Linked DNA regions of Caenorhabditis elegans. The protein of the gene in region 3 purifies or fractionates together with the protein of the main gene of each other region. This does not show direct contact. Each region holds a gene or a part of one and is shown on either strand. Other genes may lie near its edges. The genes, in order: F29B9.5, igcm-4 and prcc-1.

Region 1 (6,795 bases), 8.4 Mb from region 3:
GGATTCTCGGTCTTTCGAAATCTCGGCGGAACTCCTCCACGGTAAGATTATTCCCATCAACTCTGAAATTTTAAATTTAAATTCCTCGATTTTGAAATCTGAAGCTCTAAAAAAAACCTTTGAATACTATCCCTAAATGGAGGCAGATTAAAGCTTTCCGAGTATCCCAGAGTCTCCCATCCGAACTTTCTCAGCTCCGGTCTCGCTTTGTCCTTCGCATGTGAAACCCGTTTATAAGTACGCGGTAATGAGTATCTATCTCGCCCTAATGACATTAGTTGTCTCTGAAAAAAACATTGATTTTTTTTTTGAAACAATACATTTCATTAAAAAAAACCTTCATATCGTCCAAAAACTCTGTGGCAAACGACAACATGTCGTCTATTAAAATAGAAATGCCGAAACTTATTCATTTTTATCTCACCAGAGCTCTGATCCAGTTGACGTGGCAGGTACAATCTAGGGCGGGCAAACCTAGAGAAAAACTATTAAAATATAAATATTTACGTGATAATTAATTATTTATTAGTAGGAAAAATCTATTTAAAAAATTACTAGATAAATGTTTAAATAAATGGAAAATAATTATATACATTTTCACTTGTTGCATGCTGCCTCCCACGCAGCGAAGAGTCCCTGTGGGTCGGCTTTTCCCTTGTCGACGACCTCCGACTTCCCATCCACAACGACCATCTTGCCGGCTGCGTTGATCACTCGGAGCACTGGGATCGTCTTGATCTCGAACTTTGATTGATATCGTCTGAAAATTATGATTTATTTTTGAGACTCTGAAATTAAAAATGATAAATCTCACGTCAAAATGTCGTCTCCATACTTGACGCAGAGCCAATCGCCGTGCTTCTCGGTGAAGTTCTCTTCAAGATCAGCCTTTGATCTATCACGAGAGAAGAAAACCACTTCGATGGGCTTTCCAGCCTTCTTCAGATGATGGTAGAAGCGCTGAAGGGTGTGGAAACTCATTGGAAAATCGGAAAATCTAGATTCAGCACTCACAACTAGCTTCGGAGTGAACTGCTTACACGGTGGACACCATCCCGCGGAAAAATAAAGAGCAACAACCTAAATGTCATATTCTAAAATCTTTCACTACACACTAATATTTCGCCACCTTGCCCTTCAGAGCTTCTTCGGCAGGAACTTCAGTCAAGTCTTGCTTCAGAAGCATCACACCTTTCATGAATTCGGACATTGTTGGAGAATCTGACATGAACAGTTCATGGTTGAGTTGCAAAATACAAATAAGTTGAGGGAAAAAAAATATAATCAAGTCCATTTAGAAAATTGGAATACACGGGATTTGTCAACAATTAAATTGTGCTCCTGATTTTAAGAGAATTGGGGGGAAGAGAAAAGAGATGGAAAACAGAACGGGATAAAAAGAAAGATGAAGATCAAAATGAGTAAGAATGATGAGGAATAGTCTTTTGAAAGAATAAAGACTACTCAGCCCATGGACCAGTGGAAAATGATTGGGTTTGCGTGCACACGAAATTTGGAAAAAGTCATCGAAATGTTCTAGCTCTCGAATTTCATCAACCACGAAATGAAAAACCAGGCACGACAAAGCTTTTGGTTAGATTGAAATAAAAGATATCAGAAAAGTTGCTTCGGTGCTCGAATTTCGAGTTGTGTCAACAATCGTTGCCGCATACAGAAATAGTTAACTAAATGAAATGAGGATGGGAGGAAAAAGGAGAATAGAATAGACGACTACCACGAAGCAAGCATCTACTCGAGCATTTGCTTCTGGACGAGTTCGGCAGCATACTTCACAGCTTCCTTCTTCACTCGCTTCTCATATTCAGCCCTGTAATAAATTCATTTGTGTATTTTTTTTATAATATTCAGATAAAAAAAACTCACCTATTCTGACAGTAGATCTGATAGGCTTCAGCCTGAGCTGGATCTTCAATATTTGGATGGTTCAGCAAATCTTGAATTCCAATGAGAAGTTGCTTGATTGAGATTGACGGCTTCCAATCCTTGTTTTCATCCAGAAGAGATAAGCACACGGTACCTGAATTCAATTAATTAATTATAACTATTGGACTGCAATAATAACCTGATGGGTACACATTTGGATGGAAGAGTGGTGGCTCGAACTTGCACTTTGGTGGCGTTGACGGGAAATCGTCCTTGAAGAGCATCCGAATCTGAAAGAAAATTGAATTAGATTTATAAATATCGTTGTATTCCAAATAGCAGTTTTTGAGAGAAACAGTTCACGAATATTATAGCTCAATAAATTAACGAAAAATGATAATTTCCGAATTCTAGCTTCACATACTCTGTATAATCCGCCTTCCCAAATCGTATCCTTTCTCCCTGGGATTGCACATTCCCAATTGAAGAGGTTCAATGTTCCGTCGGCGTTCTTGACTGGTTTGGCAATGAATCCGAATGGATGATCCTGAAAATGTTGAGTTTTGGGCATGAAAACAAACTATTTTTCGATAATTTTTAGAATTTAACCGATTTAAAGCGGTTTTGTAATACAAATCGCCCCGACTTGCCATGTAATGATAAAATTCTCACCTTTCGCCAGTGTTTCCTTTCTTCCGCGAGGCGTCCTGCAGCAATTCCCGACATTTTTGTTCGGTTACACTGAAAAATATCAAATTTGTAAAAGAGAAGTGGACAGTGAAGTTTTAGGCACAACGAGAAAAGAAGAGAGAGGTAAACAAACGAAACAGCGTGTTCGTGACACTTGTCAGAACTATTTTAGATTTTTCAAACAGAAATCCGATCGATAAGAAAGAGAAATTTCTCGAAAAAGTTCAAAAATAGGATATCGCGCCAAAAAACGAAAAGGGGGGCGAGCACCGCCCGTATTATCGATCAATAAATTGCATAGTGCGGCGCGCGATTTCGCAATGGTGTCGCACACGAAAACTAATTTCGACAGAATGCAACAGAAAATTACAAAACGGTTCGCAGTTTTCGCGCGCACACAAAAGAATATTCAAGAAAATTATAAATTCGAAGGGCGCGAAATTCAAATAATATTTATTCGCGGCAAAATGTGTGAGAATGAGAGTGCCCAGTCAGTCATCCTTCTTCAAAACCTCTCCTTCCTTGCGCTCTTTCGTCGGCGAACGACTTCCGGGGCTGCAAAAATGATAACGTTTTCAAAAAATAAAAAACTTTTTTCTCACTCATCAGGCGTTCTCTCCATGTCCGGATTGTTCGAAGGTCCCGTGCATCCATAATAGTACGGCTTGTATCTTCCTCCGAACAACCAGTCCATGTCGTATAACGGAATGTATTCTCTGAATTAGAAAGTTGGAAATTTAATTATTTTAAGTGTCAAAATATATGCCTATATATAGGATATATATACAATAGGTGATTTTCTAGAATTCAGATGTACCTGTGATCTCTCATAACGGTCGAATAGTTGATTGTTGCTTTCAGATTTGGACTCAAAAGTCCACCGTATATCCTATTCCATTCTCTAGAAAATGTTCCAATTAGATCTATTTTTCTTGATGAACAAAGCCAACCTAGTTACTAGAATGATCACCAAAGAGAGAGTAGAACCGAAAAATGGAAAACTACGAACTAGAATTGAAGCTGCGAATCTGGAATAAAATTTTATTTTGGTTTTCCATTATTGTTTAATTGTAGAAAATAGCTAGTGAGCTCACAGAGAACAAATCGCAGAGCTCAAGAAAAGCAACGATGACAAAAACAATTGATTAGGTGGTTCGTCTGTTGCTGTACTCTTTGTAGTTGACTCACTACCATCAAGCAATTCCGTAGTGTAATCAGCCATATTTGTATGCACAAATTTGCTTCAAAGAGTCAAAAATTTAAATTTATAAATAAAAATTAAAAACTCACTTGTCTTCCGGAAACTCTATAACACCACTTTTCGAACTCATCGTAAAAATAAGAATGATTTAAATTTGAAAAAAATTTATTCATTTTTTAATTGTAAGGCAAGGCACATATGGAACGTGTAAAACGTGTACTATTTATCACAATTTCTGAGAGAGCGATATTTCCGATTTGAAAAAAAACAAAACAAAGAAAAAACGAAGGAGCACCGGGCTTCTGAGGGGGCGCCCAATGGCACAGGGGTTTAGAATTATGGCGCAAAAAAGAAGAGTTGGAAGCAATAATTACAGAAAAAAAATAAAAGATCGTTCCTAATGTCTTCTACAACACGGGAAGAAGAATTTGACAAAACGACGGCGGTATGGGTTGAGGAGGATCAGAGCCAGAATTAGGAAGATAAAGGGTCTGAGCAAGAAGAAGGTCAGATGAAGTGGGAACATCTCGGAAGCAAAGTGCATTGGGAGGTACCAGTTGAAGCCGAGAAGCTGACCGACGTCAAAAGCGATGGTCAATCCGGACCAGACTGAAAGGATCTAAGGTTTCACTAGGTCTGCTAACTGTTACTTACTGAGATAAGGAGCCGTAAGCACATGAACACAGATACTGAATAATAGGAACAAGAACAAACGGAGTTTGCTGTTTCTCACGTGCTCATATGGAGAAGTCTTCGTCACCTCGTCCTTTCTTCTGCAGAATAAGAAGAGACTCTGAAATCAATTCTATGCTTCTAGTACTGAAAGACATCTGAAACTCACAGCGAACATCTGGGTGACGATGCCGAAGGAGACAATACACGCAGTGAGTCTGATGCTGGAAATGATGCTGAGATAAGCCCATTGTGGAATTTGGTAGATCGAGATGAGAGTGTCAAAGGCGGTAAAGATTACCGGAGTGATTTGAGCCTTGAAGAAGACACTGCTGAAAATTGTTTTTTTTTAAATTGTTTTTTTTATTTGTAAGAAAAGGGGATTAAGTGCGTTATAAAGAAGTTTGACTGCTTTTGAGTGGAGGAGAAGTGTGCCAGAAAGATGGAGAAGCACACCAGCAAGCTGGGATGTGCTCCAGAAAACTGGTAAAAATTGCGACTGCCTAGGCATGCCTAAGCGCCTGTACATCGTGGAAGCTTTCCTAGCAAAACAAACCTACCCAATCGGCTCGTAAGTGATCTGCTCTGGACGTGCAATCGCCTTGTGAGCGAAGAAAAAGACCGTGTAAGTCGAAAAGAGCAGACTCCAGAAGATAAAATCACCGGCGACATAGGATACGATCGAGAAGAGTTGATCCTTCCTGGAATCTATGTCATTAAAATCTTTTAGATCTACTCAACGATCTTACGTGTACACCTGGTAAGTTGTGTACTTTTGAAGGATCTCTCCGAACCCGTCGACGGCATACCTAAAAAATAGAAAACTGGTTGTATGACAAATGTAAAATCTAAAATTAGCTCACTTCTGCCAATCAGTCACAGTGTCGTTCGCTCGTGGTGAAAGGTTTAGGTATTGCCAGTCAAACTGTCTGAAAACTAGTTGAATAATAATGAATATGTTCAAAGAAATGCTTCTCAAACTCACTGAGCCCCAAAGATCGCTGTACTGGCGTGAATCTCGGTGAAGATATCAAATCCAGCTTCGATAAACAGTGGGATGATAAGGAAGAGAACGAAGAACTTGAAGAAGTCCTTACGAATCGTACAGGATAAAGTGAAGATTAGGATAATGAGCAGGCATTTGAAGGCGAGGAGTCCAATGCGGAATGGGTTAGGTTGGTAGCCGATAAGGACGGGGGCTGAAAATTGAATAGTTAGAAAAAACTTTGTTGAAAGTTTCTGGCTTCCAGTTCTTGAATAACGCGGTCAACAATACTGTTGGTATAAAACTTGCACGTCAAATTCGATGCATCGAGCTCGTACAGAGGACTATTTTCCGTTAAGAAAAACACAGCGTCGGCAAAACTAGGTAATCTAAAACTTACCCAATGTGGTTGTGGTTGTACTAATCACATCTGTGATCATCGTGGTTGCTGTCTCATTCGACAAAAGTCCTGGATCCATCTCCGAATTTGTGAGAAGAGTTTGCACCTCCTCAGGCATCGACCCACTGAAATCGAGTGTCTCTTCTGACATTCTGAAATTGTATTGGTTAGGAATTAAGCTGATCAAGTCGTAGGGAAAAATAAGATTGAAAAAAATATAGGTTTGTCAAAAAATAATGAGGTTATCGGAGCATAGAACTTTTAGAAAGCAGGGTCGCTATGGAAACCTTTGGAAAACAGGTGACAAGTTTTTGAAAAACAAGCGCAAAAGGCATAGATTTTATTAACTTTTTTTTCAATTGAGAAAAGTTACAGGTACTTGAAGTCAGAACAAGGGGCGACGACAGTTCAACTTGTTATTCAAAAACCGTTCAAAAAACTACTGGTCTGGCCAAACTTTGCTAATCAATAGAAAAATAATTGAAGTAGGTTATGAATGAGGTGTTTTGAAAGATTTTTCAGAAGGCAAATAAATTTTTAAAATTCTCTGAAAATTATTCTCCCATTCAAAATTTTCACGATACATCTTAAGTTAGCTAGTTTCAAAATAAAGGTGGAGTAGCGCCAGTGGGAATTTTATCTAAATGCACTTATAATGATTGAAAACAACCGAATAGCATAATAAAACCCTCCAAAAAATATTAGATTTTTCATAATTTCCGGTCAAAGTTTTGTCAAAGTGCCAAAATTTTGAAAAAATGAGCTTTTGAGAAAATCCAAAGCAATGTCGCATGTTCCGACCCCTACAATGTTTTAGTACAAAAATTAAAACAAATTACAATGTAAAAATGTAGGGAAAAAAAAACAATTTTTTGCTCGACTTCCAAAATTAGGAATGGCAAAAACTGAGTATTTGCCACTTTTTGACAGTTATTAAAATTTTTTCTAAAATTTTTCGAAAAG
Region 2 (7,405 bases), on a different chromosome or scaffold from region 3:
CATAGTAGGATGCCAGCAAAAATGTATACACAAAAAGTTTTTGGAAATAGTTGCCCAGCACAATATTATATATGCTTGAGGGCATTTCAATTCAAAAATAATGTATATGCATGAATGGATATTAACACTACTAAACCTACATGTGGTGTAGGAAACGAAACGAATTCACCCTTACGAAATATCTATGTTTATCCCACTTATTTGTTTGGATTGTATTTTAGAGCGTATGTGTGTGTGTGTGTGTGTGTGTGTGTGTGTGTGTGTGTGTGTGTGTGTGTGTGTGTGTGTGTGTGTGTGTGTGTGGGATATATCGAGCAATGGCGTTGAGCTCTCTCTTGAAAATGTGCAATGGACACGTGAATGGTAAACATTAGTAAAAGGGAACACAATGCAGCTGCTCGCGCACGCGGGGATCTAAAAGTAATGAAAAGGCACCTAATTGCCAGGAAAGCTGCCGTAATTTGAGCCATGAACAACTCTAGCACTCCATGGAAATTTATTCAAGATTTGAAAATTGAGACTGCAATTAGTAGGACGTTGGAACGGAATTCTAATGAAGATCCCTTCCGGGAAATGACCGGAAACACCAAGCCCCTCTGTTTCTTCTTTTTCTTCTATTCTTAGAGTGTTGGAAAATTGAGAAGAATCGGTGGGCACTAATCGGATCGAGAAGAAATCCTGTCTAGATATGGAAAATTTTGCCGGTAAAGATGAAAAATTTTACCTACTACGGTATTTGTGTATAACAGATTTTGAATTTTTAGGGAAATGTCTTTAAAACACCACAATTTCAAGATATCATATTAAAACAATTTTTTAAAAATTCTAACTTTTATATGATTTTTTGAAAACAGGAAAAATCTCTTTTATGCCACTTTTTTGGAAGTCGTCGATCAAAATTTTTTTTTCAATTTTTATAAACTACCTATGTTTCAAATACTAATATTCAGACAATGTAGGGGTGACAGTGCTATAGTTTTCTTTTTCAAAATGTAGCAATAACTCAAGTAATTGCCATTTTTGACTGTCAATAAAAAAATTTCGAAAATGGTTAAAAAGTTTTACTATGATACTCGGTCGTTTTGGCCCCATAAGAGTGGTTTTTAACCATTTCCTTATTGGCGTTATTCTACCTTTAAAAAATAATATTTGAACCCCTCAAGAGAAAAATGGGGCTTTGCGGCAATTTTTTGAATTCAAAATTGGTACAAAAAATTGAAAAAAATTTGTTTTATCTGAAAATAATATTCATATTTGTTGGAAAAAGTTGTAAAAGATTTCAAATAGTGCCTGAACTGTGCCGCTTGCCAAAAAACTTTTAATGGCACTTTTTCGGCAACAGGAAATTTTCAGGCACTCTCTGAAGTATTCCAAAATTTTTCGACAAACAAATATAATTTTCTGATACATAGATCAAATTTGTCTATACATTTTAATATCAATTTTGAATTTAAAAAAGTTGGATTTTCATATTGAAGTAAGCTATTGTGTACTTTTACCAAAACAAATTGCCGCACAGCCCTGATGTGAATTACGATTAGTTAACCCTAATGAATAAATAAAAGATTTAATTTCAAACTTTTGGACTTTTATACAAAATATCCTATTTGTGTTCTATCTTTGCTGATTTTTAACTAATTCTTTTACGATTAATTCTTTTCTCACACTACTTTCCACAAGCAAATTGCCAATTATCATTAATTTTCGCAAATCTTTTAATAATATTCGTCCCGTCTGCCATCCTCACACGTGCTCCAAAGCCCCGCAAATGCACTTAAACGAACGAATCGTGTGCTCGTTCTTACTTGATTCAAATTTGTAATTAAGTGTCGTCGTTGCGATGAATACAACAGACGGAGAAGAGCGTCTAGTCTTCCATTTCCTTTTGCTGTTGTGCTCGGTGGGCAACAAGAACAATAGGTGAGAAGAGGCTCTCCCCCCCCCCCCCCCCATGCTGGACAGCTGCCAAAGAGCAGTACAATTCTAGGTGAGAGTTGTGGCGCAATGGCAGTCAATGCATTGCGTAATTATGGCTCGTTGGGTTCTTTAGTTTTCTGTTCTGCTAATACGTAATACACTCCAATTACCAATGCCATCTTTTATTATTTCATTTCACTACTCAAATACATATCTTTTGAGTGGCAATATACAAAGTATTGAGTATAACATATGATAGATCATATATCAACAGTAGTATTCCGTTATGCTCTGGCAATCCCCCTCCGGCATCCTTGAGATGTGTTCTACAGTTAGATAATAACGGCGAGGTGAATGACATATCGTATCTCGTCGCATTCGTTATCAAAAATGCGTATCAAATGGTATCTACTTGGGAAACAATGGGCAATGGGAAGAACCGAACGGAAGGTCTAATCTTGTCAACCAATCGGAAATGGGAAGCATATGAATATGAATTATAAATTATAAATTATAAATTATAAATTATGCAATGACAAGAACATGTCTCATTTCGATTCACTTTTACACCCTACCCCGGCCCAAGAAAAGACGGACTCTATCCTTCTTCTTCTTGGGATTCAAAGTGTCAATCAAAAATGCTTGACTTTCGACTCGATTTTCGTTTTGGTTATAGCTTTCGAAACACTAGTTCCAACGACATACGGGACGCTTTTTAGGAATTAGAAATTAGAAATCACAAAGGACCATCGAAAAACAAGCCAAAAACTGTACATATGGCAAATTAGCTCTTGACATTCTGGGGGTCAAGAGCGCACGCGTAATCTACGTTTTCAACATCACTCCACGCTAATTCAATTCAACTATTTCCCGCTCCCCTTACTCACTTCCACGCGCTGCTTCAACGTGCGGTCGAATGATTGCCGAGTTGACCATTGTGATGATTAGCAAAAATACGGCACCCATTTTGAATGAATCTGAAAAAAATTGTTTGAAAAATATGGAGAAAAAATTAGTAAAAGTAAAAATGCTAGAAATTAGTTTATAGAGAAAAAAATATTGCAGGTCAATGAAAATTTAGCATTTTGAAAGAGTCGCTTTAAGTTTTAGTTTACTTTAACACCTTACTAATCGCTTTATCTATTCGATTTACCGAGTCGAAAAGCTGATAAGAAAAGTGTTGAGAATCAAAATATTTGAGTGAAAAAAACAAAGCATAACTATTACTCACCCATTGCAAACTTGAAAATTGCAAATATACTTTAGAAACTAGCAGAAATTTTCAAAAAGTTCATTAAAATCACTTCCGGCGTTCTTCGGTTAATTCGTTAAGAACACGCCGCAAAACACGCAGAATGATTTATAGCCTCGACAACTTGGCGAAATTTTGATTTACGATGTGCGTACATCCGCGGGAGAGTGGGGGGTGGGGCCTAGTGGTGTGGCTAGGGGGAAAGAGAGAGCGTCAGAAGGCGAGAAACGCAGACGACGGTCCGCCCGCACTGACAGTTAATGAAGATGGTCAGCTCATTCGGTAGTCGATGGGAGGAGAGGAAAAATACACGGTGAGTTCCCTACCCATGTATGGCAGATGAACACGGGAGATTTGGATCTCTTGTGAGTGACAGGCGTTGTAGGTTTTCCGGATTAAGGAGATCCCTAGAGAGCAGTTGAAACAGGTGGTTTTTAGTTAGGAAGGTGGACAATGAGGTGTTAATAAAAAAATGTGCCGAATTTAATCTCAATTCGTATTCTACCTCCTGCCAATATTTTAACAGATTTAACAAAATATGCATAGTTTTATATTGGGAATTTCCAGGTGATATTAGAAAAAATTTATACACATTTTAGTTTAAGAAATATTTCGTTTGAAGGTGAAGAAAACTGCTTAGAACTGGTGCCAAAATGTCAAAATATCATAGTGAATTCTTCCAAAAAAAATTTGGAAATTACGATTTTTATACTTTAATTTTTGTTAAATTATTTTTGTTTAAACATTTTCAGTGTCGCGACATTTCTCTGGGTTTACTTAAAATCTCATATTTTTTGAAAACTTGGCACCTTGCCAAAACTTTGACTTTTGAAGTGTTTTATTATGTCATTTGGTGTATTCAGGCAAAATCCTCACTGGCGCTATTCCCTGTTAATGAGCTAGTTAACAATATTAAGGCCAGTGCCAGTGCTGAAGAAGACATATGTTAACAAAACTATAATCCAAATAGACAACTTAAGCCAATATGTAAATACAAATACGACCACTGTGCTTCTGACTATGTAAGCAGGCTCGATACACATGGCAATATTAATAAGAGGAAGTTCATACAGTTGTTTATAGGATAACGCTTCGAGCATACAGGGTGTTTTGCAGAATGCGAAAAATGAAGATATAGATGAAAGTGGCAAGATAATCCGGAAATTCAGTGTGATCATTCAAAAACTCAATGTGCTCAATCATTCACAACTGACAGCTTGAGGTTGTAACATTATTGATGACTTGACTCCTTTTTATTTTTGCGTGTTTTTGCGTGTAGATTATTTAATAGGTGTATTTATATGAATTAATTTATTCTACAAACATTTTGAATTTCTGACCTCAAGTTTCAATTTTCGACTTCCCAGCCTACTCTCTCAACTTGAGAATAATAGGTCAAACAATGCATATTATCGCGCATGACAGGTAGCTGTTAGCTGACACCACACCGTAAACAGAGTATCGAAGAGGTTTGTTCTTCGCTGCTCGAATAACACAAGTGAGCACTCATCCGTCTAGTGATACAACCTGGAGAACACACCTCAAGAACCTACTCCTTCTACGTACTTCAACCAAGGTTTCAAGTGATACTAGATACGCATCGCAACGGGGTCCCCAAGAAAGTGGAATCACATTGCATTCACAGGTATTGTTTTGAGTTGGTAATGCTAGGCCTGCCGAGTTTTCGGTAGGGCTCAAAATCTTAGAAATCGAAAAATAATTGAGGTCTCAATTGTCATAAAAAACTGGAATTTCAATAGCTTGTATGAAATAGTATGAAAACCGGAAAATAAACATTGAATCCCGTTTTTTACAGGGTTTCAGACACTTTTTTGGCTTTTCACAGTTTTTCAGATTTTTGATTTTTCGGGTTTGCGCACAAAACCCAAAAAAAACCGATACTTTGGGGGAAATTTGAACATAAAAGCGCCAAATCTGCGCGAAAAAACGAGTTTCGTATTGAAACTTCTCAAAAAATTCTCTGAACCTTTTTATGGCAAAAAAACTATCCTAATTGATGCTTATGGGTTTTGTTCTCCCCCCCCCCCCACATAATGTTTTTATATCTAAAATTTTATTTTCAAATTTTTAAATAAAAAACGTGAACAAAAGTAAAGAACAAAGCATTCATTTCTACAAATCGTTCCAAAAGGTTCACGTTTTTGTGGTTAATTGAAACTTAGAAAATTGAAACATTTTGGGGGAACGAAATCCTAATTTTCCTAATTTTAGCTAAAATCTCCATTTCGGCCCCTTTTCCAGCAATTCAACAAGCGGAAGTTAACTTTCCTCAAATAACCATTTTTTTTATTGCATATTTTGGTCGTCATCTCATTTTATTTCGTTGAAAAATTACAAAAACTGGCCACTTACCCGCTTGAAATGTACCTTCATCAACGGAATAACGTGAAATAAACAATTAAACTTGAAACAAAAGATGATAATTCAATAAAAGTGGAAAAAACTTTCAGGTTTTAGCTAAAATTAGCCAGTTTTTTTTAAAGAATTTCAAACCGAAAAATAGTATTTTAAAAATTTTAATTATTAAAACAATTGTCATTACTAAATTTTTTTTGTTGAGCAACTTTTGAGTGTTAACGTTCGAAATTTTCCACAGCCTCCTTTAATAGTGGTCTTTGAGCAAAAAGAGGATAGCTCAGTTGGAGCAATTGTTACATGTGTTCTATAAGTTGAGTTGAATAGAAGGCCGTCGAAAGTAAAAACAGGAAATATACATAAGGTGCTAAAAGGGTTGTGCCGCACGAAAACGAAAGACGGCTTCACGCAGCGGTGTCTGTCTTCCCGGACCAACTCTTTATGAATAATGCACTAATTGCATAGTCAGGTGAAGAGCCCGAGAGTGCCATATGGGAAGCGGTTGGATGAAACAACACAACAGATGGACAAAAGATAACAACTAATTATGAATGGAGAGAAAACTAAAACACAGAACAAAATAATCTCATGTGAAAAAGCGTGGAGTACTAGGGTACGACTTCTAACACTGCGAATTGCATCAAATTGAATTTACTGCGAAGAAAATCTAGATGGTGAAACTCTGATATTCTACAGCAAAGATTCAATTTGTGTAATACAAATTTTGGAGAAAACAAATATAATTTTTATTCTTCAATGAGTTGCGAAAAAATTACGAAATTTTGTGAAGTGTTTTGAAACAAGGATTTCAGGATTTTTTTTTCAGGTTTTTATTTCAAATCCCTAACAATTATTGCAAAAAACGCAACAAAACATTTGAAAAACTATTTGAAAAAAGTAGTCCCGTAACAAAGCAAATTAGTGAAACCCAAGGCTAAAACCATTTCAACATGTCTCTATAGTTAGACTCAAGTTGGAGGAATAAAGTGCATAATTTTCAAATTGTCTCAATTTTCTGACATCAAATTAGTTTACTAGAACCTATGCACATATATTTTTTATCGCAAGATAAAACTAGTGTTTACTTGTTTGATTATAATAGTGAGATTTTTTTGAGAAATGGGAATTTTTTAAATATTCAGACAACATTAGATTTTTAAAAATTCGGAAAAAAATTTAGGAAAGGAATATAGCAAAACTGTGCTTAAATGCATGAATTTTCAAAAGAAACTTGTCAAAAAATTTAAAAACAATTTTTATTCGGATCAAGAAAAATGGTCTAATTTTAGCCAAAATTAGTTTTTTTGTTGATATTTTGAACCGCCATAAAAAATGTTAGAAATTGTTTTTTGAATATTTCAATATGAAATTCGTTAATTTTAGCACATTTTTAGACTGTAACGGAGCACTGCTAAACTGAAAAACAATTCCAGTTTTCAGGCACTCTCTCATAATATTCAAAAATGAACAAAAATTAATAAATTTTCATATGCCGCCAGGAGAAAAAATAGTTCGGCACTTTATCGTAAACAAATCGTAGTGAGAACCAACTAGTCCCTTTTCTTCAATTCATTCTCCAACTTGATGAAAGTTAAGAATGCATGCAAGTTTTGACGGAAAAGCTGACGAAAACTAAACTTGTTTTTCGGAAAACCACGTTACGAAAGTGAGCACGTTTTCTAAAATTGGCGATACTTGTCAGGTGAAAAACGAAAAAGCTTATGCGAGCGTTGGAAGATATGTTGAGTGTGGAGGGTAACAGGATTGAATATTAAACGAGCTGGGACTTGTGACACTTTTGACATTGATGATGATGAGTATGACGGACTGCTATTAGTTATCGAGAGAAGGAAGCGAGGC
Region 3 (7,405 bases):
CAGCTATTATTGGAATTATTTCAGGTCTCGATGATCTTCAATCCAAGCCGATTCGAACATCAACTGACAGTTTGGAACGGATTGGAATTAACGACGACGTTGCGTCGTCCCGACTTTAATTCCTCCTTGATTTCATTGCTTTAATGTCCATAATTTGGGTTTATGTATTTTTAGAACAACGGGTTTTTTGTCGTTTTTGTGAAGATTTTTGTAAACTGCTAATTTTTATTGTATAAATAAAAACTCTTTTAAATAAAAAAAAATGTTTCGGAATAAATTAGAAGACAAGACGTGCCGAACGAAGTGGACAGCTACAGTAGGCTGCATCAGGTCCTGGGATTCCAGGTGGTCCTTCAGGTCCTGGCTCCCCTTCGTCTCCCCGCTCTCCATCCAATCCTGCTGCTCCAGGTGGTCCCTCTTCCCCTTCTGGCCCAGGAATTCCTGGCTCTCCATCCTTGCCTGGGAGTCCTTCAGCTCCTGCAACACCCGGTGCCCCTGGTGCTCCTGGCATTCCTATCTCTCTGATTCCACTGGCGCCTGGTCTTCCATCGACACCTGGCTCCCCGTCTTCTCCTTGATCTCCAGCATCTCCAGGTTCTCCCTCGACACCTGGTGGTCCATCATGTCCAACTTCAAAGTTGTCAACTCCCGGTGGTCCTGGTGGTCCCTGCTCTCCTGGCTCTCCGTCTGGACCTGGAGGTCCTGGCTCTCCGACTGGGCAGCGAATGCATGGGGGTCTTTGATAGATGAGGGATTGATCAAAGAGTGGAAAGTCTGGTCCGGGTTGTCCTGCGTCTCCATTCCATCCGTCATCTCCAGGGGCTCCTGGCTCTCCTGGTGGTCCTGCAGGTCCGGGTGGGCAGTTATTGACCTTATTCATGCATCCACACTTTGATTCTCCACTTCTCTTTTGTCTTACGACGGAGCGATTGATTTCGATCATATCATCCCAGGCTTCAGTTGCGAACTTCTGAAAAATTAGGCCAGATTGATGAAAAAAATTGCCGCGTCGTGAGCCGTGAGTCGTGAGCAATTATTTCAAAAAAAAAAAACTTTGATAATATTTTTCGAATCAATGTTATCTTTAACTATACTATTGCAGTTTCAGAGACTTTAATGTTTTTCCACAAGGAACACTTGGTATTCCGCATAGTTTCTTATTATCCCACACGAGAAATTTTGTGCATTTTGAGCTGAAACTACGGTCACCGGTCTCGACACGAAAAACTTTTGTTAAATAAAAAAGGTGTGCGCCTTTAAAGAGTACTGTGTTTTCGTTGCTACGTAATTTGTATCTGGTTTTTCACAGTTTTTCTCATGAATTTACGTGTTTTTATTGTTATATTTGCCAAAAAACTGTGAAAAAATCGATAATTTTTGCTCTTGCAGAACTTTCATCGATTGTTTTAAAAATAGTTATTTGTTAAAAATTATATACAAACACGCGGAAAATCGATTAAAATTCTGCAACAGCACAAGTTTGAAACTACAGTAACCTTTAAAGGCGCACGATTTTTCTTGGATTTAACGAAAAATTGTCGTGTTTTTTACAGAAAAAACTCACATTGAACTCTGCCACGTCATCAAGTGCCGTGGAATAAAAAGTCCGAAAATCTGCGAAAATGAGCAGCCCCGCTGTAATATACCCGACGACGAGTATCGACGAAACCGAGACGGCTGCGCAAATGAAGTTGTTCGACATTTCAGACAATCTCTGCCTGTCCTCCTTGCCTTCCAATCGGCCTTATGTACTCTGCCGGCTAATGCCCGTTTAACGAGCGATCGCGCAATTTTCTCATCATTATAACGTGCTTATACTTTCAAAACGAATGAATTCATTTCGTGTTTATATGGGTGTTTATCATCAAAACAACACACAAATACAAGGGAGAGAGAAAACTGAATGATTAATGAGACATTTCGAAATGATATTAGAATCCGTACTTTTGTCGCGCCATTCGCTTCGATTGCTTCTGATCGGCCCATTGATCTTTGAGCTGCTCCTCGCGGGATACTGCCTGAAATTAAGTGAATTATGTGATTTCTAGCACAAGCTCTTAAAAAGTGTTGATCTACGCAGATTTCATACTCCACGAGGACAACTTTGCACTTTTGTTTGGCTAAAATCGGGTTTTTCGATTTTTTTAAAATAAATTGTTAATTTTGAAAAAAAAACTGTATTTTTGTAATTGAAATCAATTGATTTTGCATTTTCGGTGAATTTATATTTTTCTCGTATTTTTCCGTAAAATTATTGTTTCCGATTTGTCGGTTTTCGAAAAAATTGAAAATTTTCGTTTTTTTTTAAATCTTCAATTTTTTGAAGACCGAATATTCCATCAAGAAATTCAGCCAAAAAATGAGAAATAAGTTTTAAAAAATTGACTTTTCCATTCTTTCGCGATTTTTTTTTTGGGTTTTTGATGCAAGTAAAAGCCTGAAAATCTATAAAATCTGGAATATCTCTTACCAAGCTGGCCAAATACGTAATTTGATGCTTTCTTCTCGACATTTGTCCTTGAGTTTGAACTTGTGGCAATGGAGCAGAAGTTGCTTCAACAAATGCGCGATGTCCAAGATTCTTGATAATATTTGTCTTAACATCCGGTCCGAGAGCATCATCCACATTCACATCGACAATTGAATTGGCCATTTCGTTGATCGAACGACGTTCTTCTTGTCCAATATCATGAGAGAATCGCATCAAAAGCTTATGAGCTTGCTCGTCATTGATCTTCCGATGAAGCCAGGCATTTGAAGCAGATGGACCTTCTTGAACATCTTCTTCTTCTTCTGGCATTTCATACATTTGTCGAGGATCCATTCCTTCATCTGGACGGGATGGCCCAACTACATCCATGCTGCTGTTCATTGTCATATATGGAATTTCTGATGGAATTTCTGATTCTTTTCTAGTTGGAGCAGATGAGAAACCGAAGAAATCGGTTGGACCGTCATCATCGTCATCACTGTCGTCTGGCAGTTTTGGAGCTGGAGCCGGCTTGAAAACTGGAGCAGCAGCAGGTGTAGCCTGGAAGAGAAAGAGTTTTAAAATTAAAGTTTTAAATTAAATAAAAATTCAGTGAAGAAATCTGGAAATTTTATCCTGATTTTTAATATTTATGGGGACAAAAATCGAACAAAAATTCCCCGGTTTTATATTTTAGCTTGAAACAGCGAATTTTCGCGCCAGAGACGCCGTGTGTCGATTTACGAGATTTGTGTATATTTACAAGATTTTCAATCTTTATCGGATGCTGATTTCTGTTTTTCAACGAGTTTTCTTTATTTCCGTCGGTTTTTGACAAAATGTTTTGAGAAAATGTGTTTATTAAGGCCAATTAAACATTATATTATCAAAAAACCAAGTAAATTTCCAATGCTTAGGTCACAACTCAGCGGAAAATCCAAATATATGCTTTTCCTGACTGAAAATCGAATATTTAGTTAGTTTTTTGATATTATAATGTTTAATTAACCTCAAAAAAAAACACATTTTCAAAAAACGTTTCGGCAAAAACTGACGAAAATTGAGAAAACCGGAAATCAGCATCCGATTAAGATTGAAAATCTCGTAAATATACACACATTTCGTAAATCGACACATGACGTCTCTGGTGTGAAAATTCGGAAATCTCATGGGGACGCAAATGAAAATCGGCGATTTCAAGCTGAAATAAGAAATTAGGGAAATTTTTTTACTTAGTTATTCGAAATCAGAAGTATATTTTCTCAGAATCCGCACTCGACTTTCAATTTTTACCTTTTTAGAAACTGAATGTGGAACCATGGACTTATCGAATACATTTGCACCATCTGAACGATTATCTCTTCCTTTTGGAGCTGGAAGGTTTGACAAAAAACTGTTTCCAAGCTTCGGCTTAACTGTAGCAACAGCAGCACCTTCATTATCACTGTCATCGCTGGAATTTTCGCCAGTAATTCCTGCGAGAGCTCCGAACGCCGAAATTATAACTTTTCCTTTTGCTTTTTGAATTCCACCACCAATTTTCGGAATTTTTTCAACTTTCATCGCTTTTTTCGCCAATTTTTTCTCCTTTTTTCTCTCTTCTTTTTGTGCTTTTTTCAGAGCTTTTTTCTCCAGCTTTCTCCTTGCTTTCTCGGCCAATTTAACCTCCCATTCTTTCGGTTTTACTAATTCTTCGAGAACATCTTCTTTGTTCATGTTTGGTGAGCTTGATTTTTCTGTATTGTCAAAAAATGCTTCATCATCGACGAGTTGTTGATTTTGTGGAGCGAGTGAATTCTGAAATTTTGGAAAATTCGAAAATGTTTTCAAACTGAATAAAGAATAATTTGCTTACTTTTTGTTGTGTTTCCATTTCTTCATCACTTTCTGATTCACTTCCTGCGTAATCCACAAGGCCCATTTTGAGAAGAATTCTTCGAAGAAACGAATAATTTCAGACGAAATAAACAATACGAATATTGATTTCTTTATTCGAGAGGACTACACACAATAAGAAAGCAACAGCGCTCCAACGTACACCGCGCGAAAAACACAATTTTTCAAACAGCGATGGAGGGAAATTTCTTGAGTCCTATTTTGTTTCTTGTTCATTTGTTCCTTGTTTCATTTGCTTTTCTGTTCTCACTATTCAATAAAAATAATAATTTCAGTAAAATGTCAGCCAAAAATAAAGAGCTCGCCGAAGAGGACGTGCTCAACATGACATGCGACAAGCTTCGCAAGGAGTTAAAGAAGAAAAGGGCTTCGACTGCGGGAAAGAAATCGGAACTTCAATCGCGTCTTTTGGAGGTTTGAACTCAGTCGAAACAATGTGATTAATTTAACTTTTTCAGTTTCTCGCTGGCCAAAATAATGCCGGAAACGGGGAGGCAATCAGGGAAGAGCCGGAAGCCGAGGCTATGGACACCGACGAAGCACCTGCCAATCGCACATTCACAGTTGAAGAGGAAGAAGAAACTGAGAATACTACTGGCAGATTTGTTCGTAAGTTATATTCCATTTAGTTGAAATTTAAACAGCTTTATTACAGACGAGAATACTCCGACAAATGCGGTTGCTGTCGTTTTGGATGATGACTTGAGAAACCGTCTCTGTGGCAGTTTGGGAATCGATCTGCAAAGCTTCGAGGTGAAGTCACGCCCGAGAGTTCATCGTCTTTCGACAAGACTGTCTCTCCGCGCTAGTTCGTCGACTCCTCAAACATCTGAGCGACCAGGAATGCCGATCGAGAACAGAGGAATTACGCCAGTTCGTCAGCGTGCTCCATCCAGTGGAAGAGACAGATTCGCAATGATTCATGCAAGAGAGATGGAAAAAGAAGAAACACTCGGAGAGCGTCAAGAACGATTGAAGAAACGACACGAATTCATGACCGGCGACGTCCCAGAAGCTATCAGGAGACTTGCTACCCCGAAAAGTGTGCCAAGACGTGACCCAGTTGATAGATCAACTACAAGATCTGCTGCGCGCAATTGGCAAGTTCAGGATCCTGAGAAAATGTCCTTCCAATTCGGGGATAAATCTGCTGATGATTTTCCCGCTCTTGTCAGCTCACGAGCTGGCTGCTCATCGTCATCTGCTGCCACCACCTCTACCAAAAAGACAAAGTCCGTTGCAAGATCTCATGTGGACGTGAAGAAGCTCACCAAGTCACAAATCCCGAAACCATGCCGTTTAACTTCTCGAAAAATCATTCCTGCAACTGTCCCAGAAGATGATACATTCACCGAGTACATTTCCACGCCAAAAGGAACCACTCCAACTAGAGGTAACTATTCATATTTATCTTTTTTTCGCTAATTCATAGCAATTTTTAGTTCCACGACGTGCTGGTTACACACCACACTCTACGAGAAAAGTGTTCGTCGACACGACTCAATTGACGGATCGCGAGTTCACTTTGGCACTGGAGGAAGGATTAATCCCCGGAAGAGCTGCCACGAACCTCGAGAAACAACAAGTGGAGAACAAGAAGCGCCGTGACGACATTATCGCACTCAAGCGTAAAATGAATATCAAGTAGATATCTCAATTATTTTCTTATTTATCTTCACTCACTCGTCTCACTAGGCTAAACCTGTAAAATATTTCGTTGTTGACTTGTCGAGTTTCTGAAAATGAATTCTTTTAATTTATTACAATTCTCTTTATTTATTTTCTATTTATTTATTCCTCTATTCAATTGTTTGCGACAATTGTGATATCTTTGAATATGTCTTTTAATTTTTTTAGCAAGAAATATACGGTGGATCCGGATTCCCGAAGCGCAATTCGCGGCACGGTTTAATTTTTTAATTTACCATAAAAGCGCGTGCCGCGGAATTACTTTTCGGGTTCCACCTTCTATTTCTCGCGCTTATTTTGGACTTTAATTACTCTGACAATATAATATTAATCTTTTCTAGTGCAAAAATGGCGTTGTGGGTGGACAAATATCGACCAAAGGACTTGTTGGGAAAGGATGGCGTTGATTATCACATCGAGCAGGCCAATCATTTGAAGTTTCTCTCCGCAGACTGTATGCCGCATCTCTTGTTCTGTGGTCCCAGTGGAGCTGGAAAAAAGACACGGATCAAGTGTCTGTTGAGGTTTAATTATTGGTAAATTCAGTAAATAAAATAATATTTTTCAGAGAGCTTTACGGTGTTGGAGTCGAGAAAACGCAGCTCATCATGAAGTCGTTCACTAGTCCGTCGAATAAAAAACTTGAAATACAGACTGTCTCGAGCAATTATCACATCGAAATGACGCCGTCTGATGTTGGAATCTATGATCGAGTTGTTGTGCAGGATCTCGTTAAAGAAATGGCACAAACGTCTCAAATCGAATCAACTTCTCAAAGATCGTTCAAAGTTGTCGTTCTTTGTGAAGCGGACTCACTGACTCGTGATGCTCAACACGGACTTCGTCGAACTATGGAGAAGTACGCGAATAACTGTAAAATCGTTTTGAGCTGTGAATCCCTGTCCCGTATCATTGAGCCACTTCAATCTCGTTGCATCATCATCAATGTGCCAGCTCCAACCGATGAAGATGTGACCAAAGTCTTGCGGAAAGTGATTGAACGGGAGAGCTTTCTACTTCCGGAGAACGTTTTGCAAAAGATTGTGGAGAAGTCTGAAGGAAATCTGAGAAGAGCTATTCTGATGACTGAGGCTTTAAGAATGGAGAACGAGAGTGGTGTGGCTGAAAGTGTAGTAATTCCGGTTCCGGAATGGGAGATTTATATCCAAGAGACTGCTCGTCTGATCCTCCAGAAACAGAGCTCCGATATGCTTCTGAAAGTTCGCGAACGATTGTACGAATTGCTCTCCAGATGTATTCCACCAACTGTCATTTTTAAGGTGAGTTATAAGCACACAAATAGTATAAAATGTTCAAAAATATTTAGAAATACATTTTCAGAAACTTCTC

Evidence for each region.
Region 1: the proteins of prcc-1 (region 3) and F29B9.5 fractionate together in Caenorhabditis elegans (co-fractionation; one large-scale study listed by BioGRID). This does not show direct contact.
Region 2: the proteins of prcc-1 (region 3) and igcm-4 fractionate together in Caenorhabditis elegans (co-fractionation; one large-scale study listed by BioGRID). This does not show direct contact.

Annotation. Positions count from the first base shown.
Region 1 is NC_003282.8:4,646,874-4,653,668, reverse strand, and holds F29B9.5 (Thioredoxin domain-containing protein), read right to left. Parts: upstream 1,255-6,795; 5' UTR 1,211-1,254; coding exon 1,130-1,210; intron 1,081-1,129; coding exon 1,015-1,080; intron 961-1,014; coding exon 815-960; intron 761-814; coding exon 598-760; 3' UTR 501-597; downstream 1-500. Other genes in the region: psr-1 (JmjC domain-containing protein), read right to left, coding at 1-62, 118-284, 338-376; ubc-9 (SUMO-conjugating enzyme UBC9), read right to left, coding at 1,750-1,828, 1,885-2,038, 2,084-2,174, 2,309-2,431, 2,557-2,610; F29B9.7 (Pheromone-regulated membrane protein 10), read right to left, coding at 3,066-3,129, 3,177-3,290, 3,392-3,475, 3,525-3,602, 3,669-3,815, 3,865-3,905; F29B9.8 (Serpentine Receptor, class T), read right to left, coding at 4,173-4,384, 4,430-4,568, 4,617-4,779, 5,008-5,148, 5,197-5,256, 5,311-5,376, 5,433-5,646, 5,833-5,983.
Region 2 is NC_003284.9:2,043,031-2,050,435, forward strand, and holds the start of igcm-4 (receptor protein-tyrosine kinase), read right to left. Parts: upstream 3,331-7,405; 5' UTR 3,153-3,330; coding exon 3,149-3,152; intron 3,123-3,148; exon of another isoform or gene 2,976-3,122; intron 2,895-2,975; coding exon 2,805-2,894; intron 304-2,804; exon of another isoform or gene 225-303; intron 1-224.
Region 3 is NC_003282.8:13,089,366-13,096,770, forward strand, and holds prcc-1 (Proline-rich protein PRCC), read right to left. Parts: upstream 4,431-7,405; 5' UTR 4,392-4,430; coding exon 4,326-4,391; intron 4,268-4,325; coding exon 3,764-4,267; intron 3,032-3,763; coding exon 2,471-3,031; intron 2,019-2,470; coding exon 1,932-2,018; 3' UTR 1,822-1,931; downstream 1-1,821. Other genes in the region: spin-2 (Major facilitator superfamily (MFS) profile domain-containing protein), read left to right, coding at 25-119; col-132 (Nematode cuticle collagen N-terminal domain-containing protein), read right to left, coding at 278-970, 1,565-1,702; C39E9.12 (SAP domain-containing protein), read left to right, coding at 4,646-4,780, 4,825-4,975, 5,022-5,759, 5,809-6,014; rfc-3 (Replication factor C subunit 3), read left to right, coding at 6,404-6,579, 6,624-7,335, 7,397-7,405.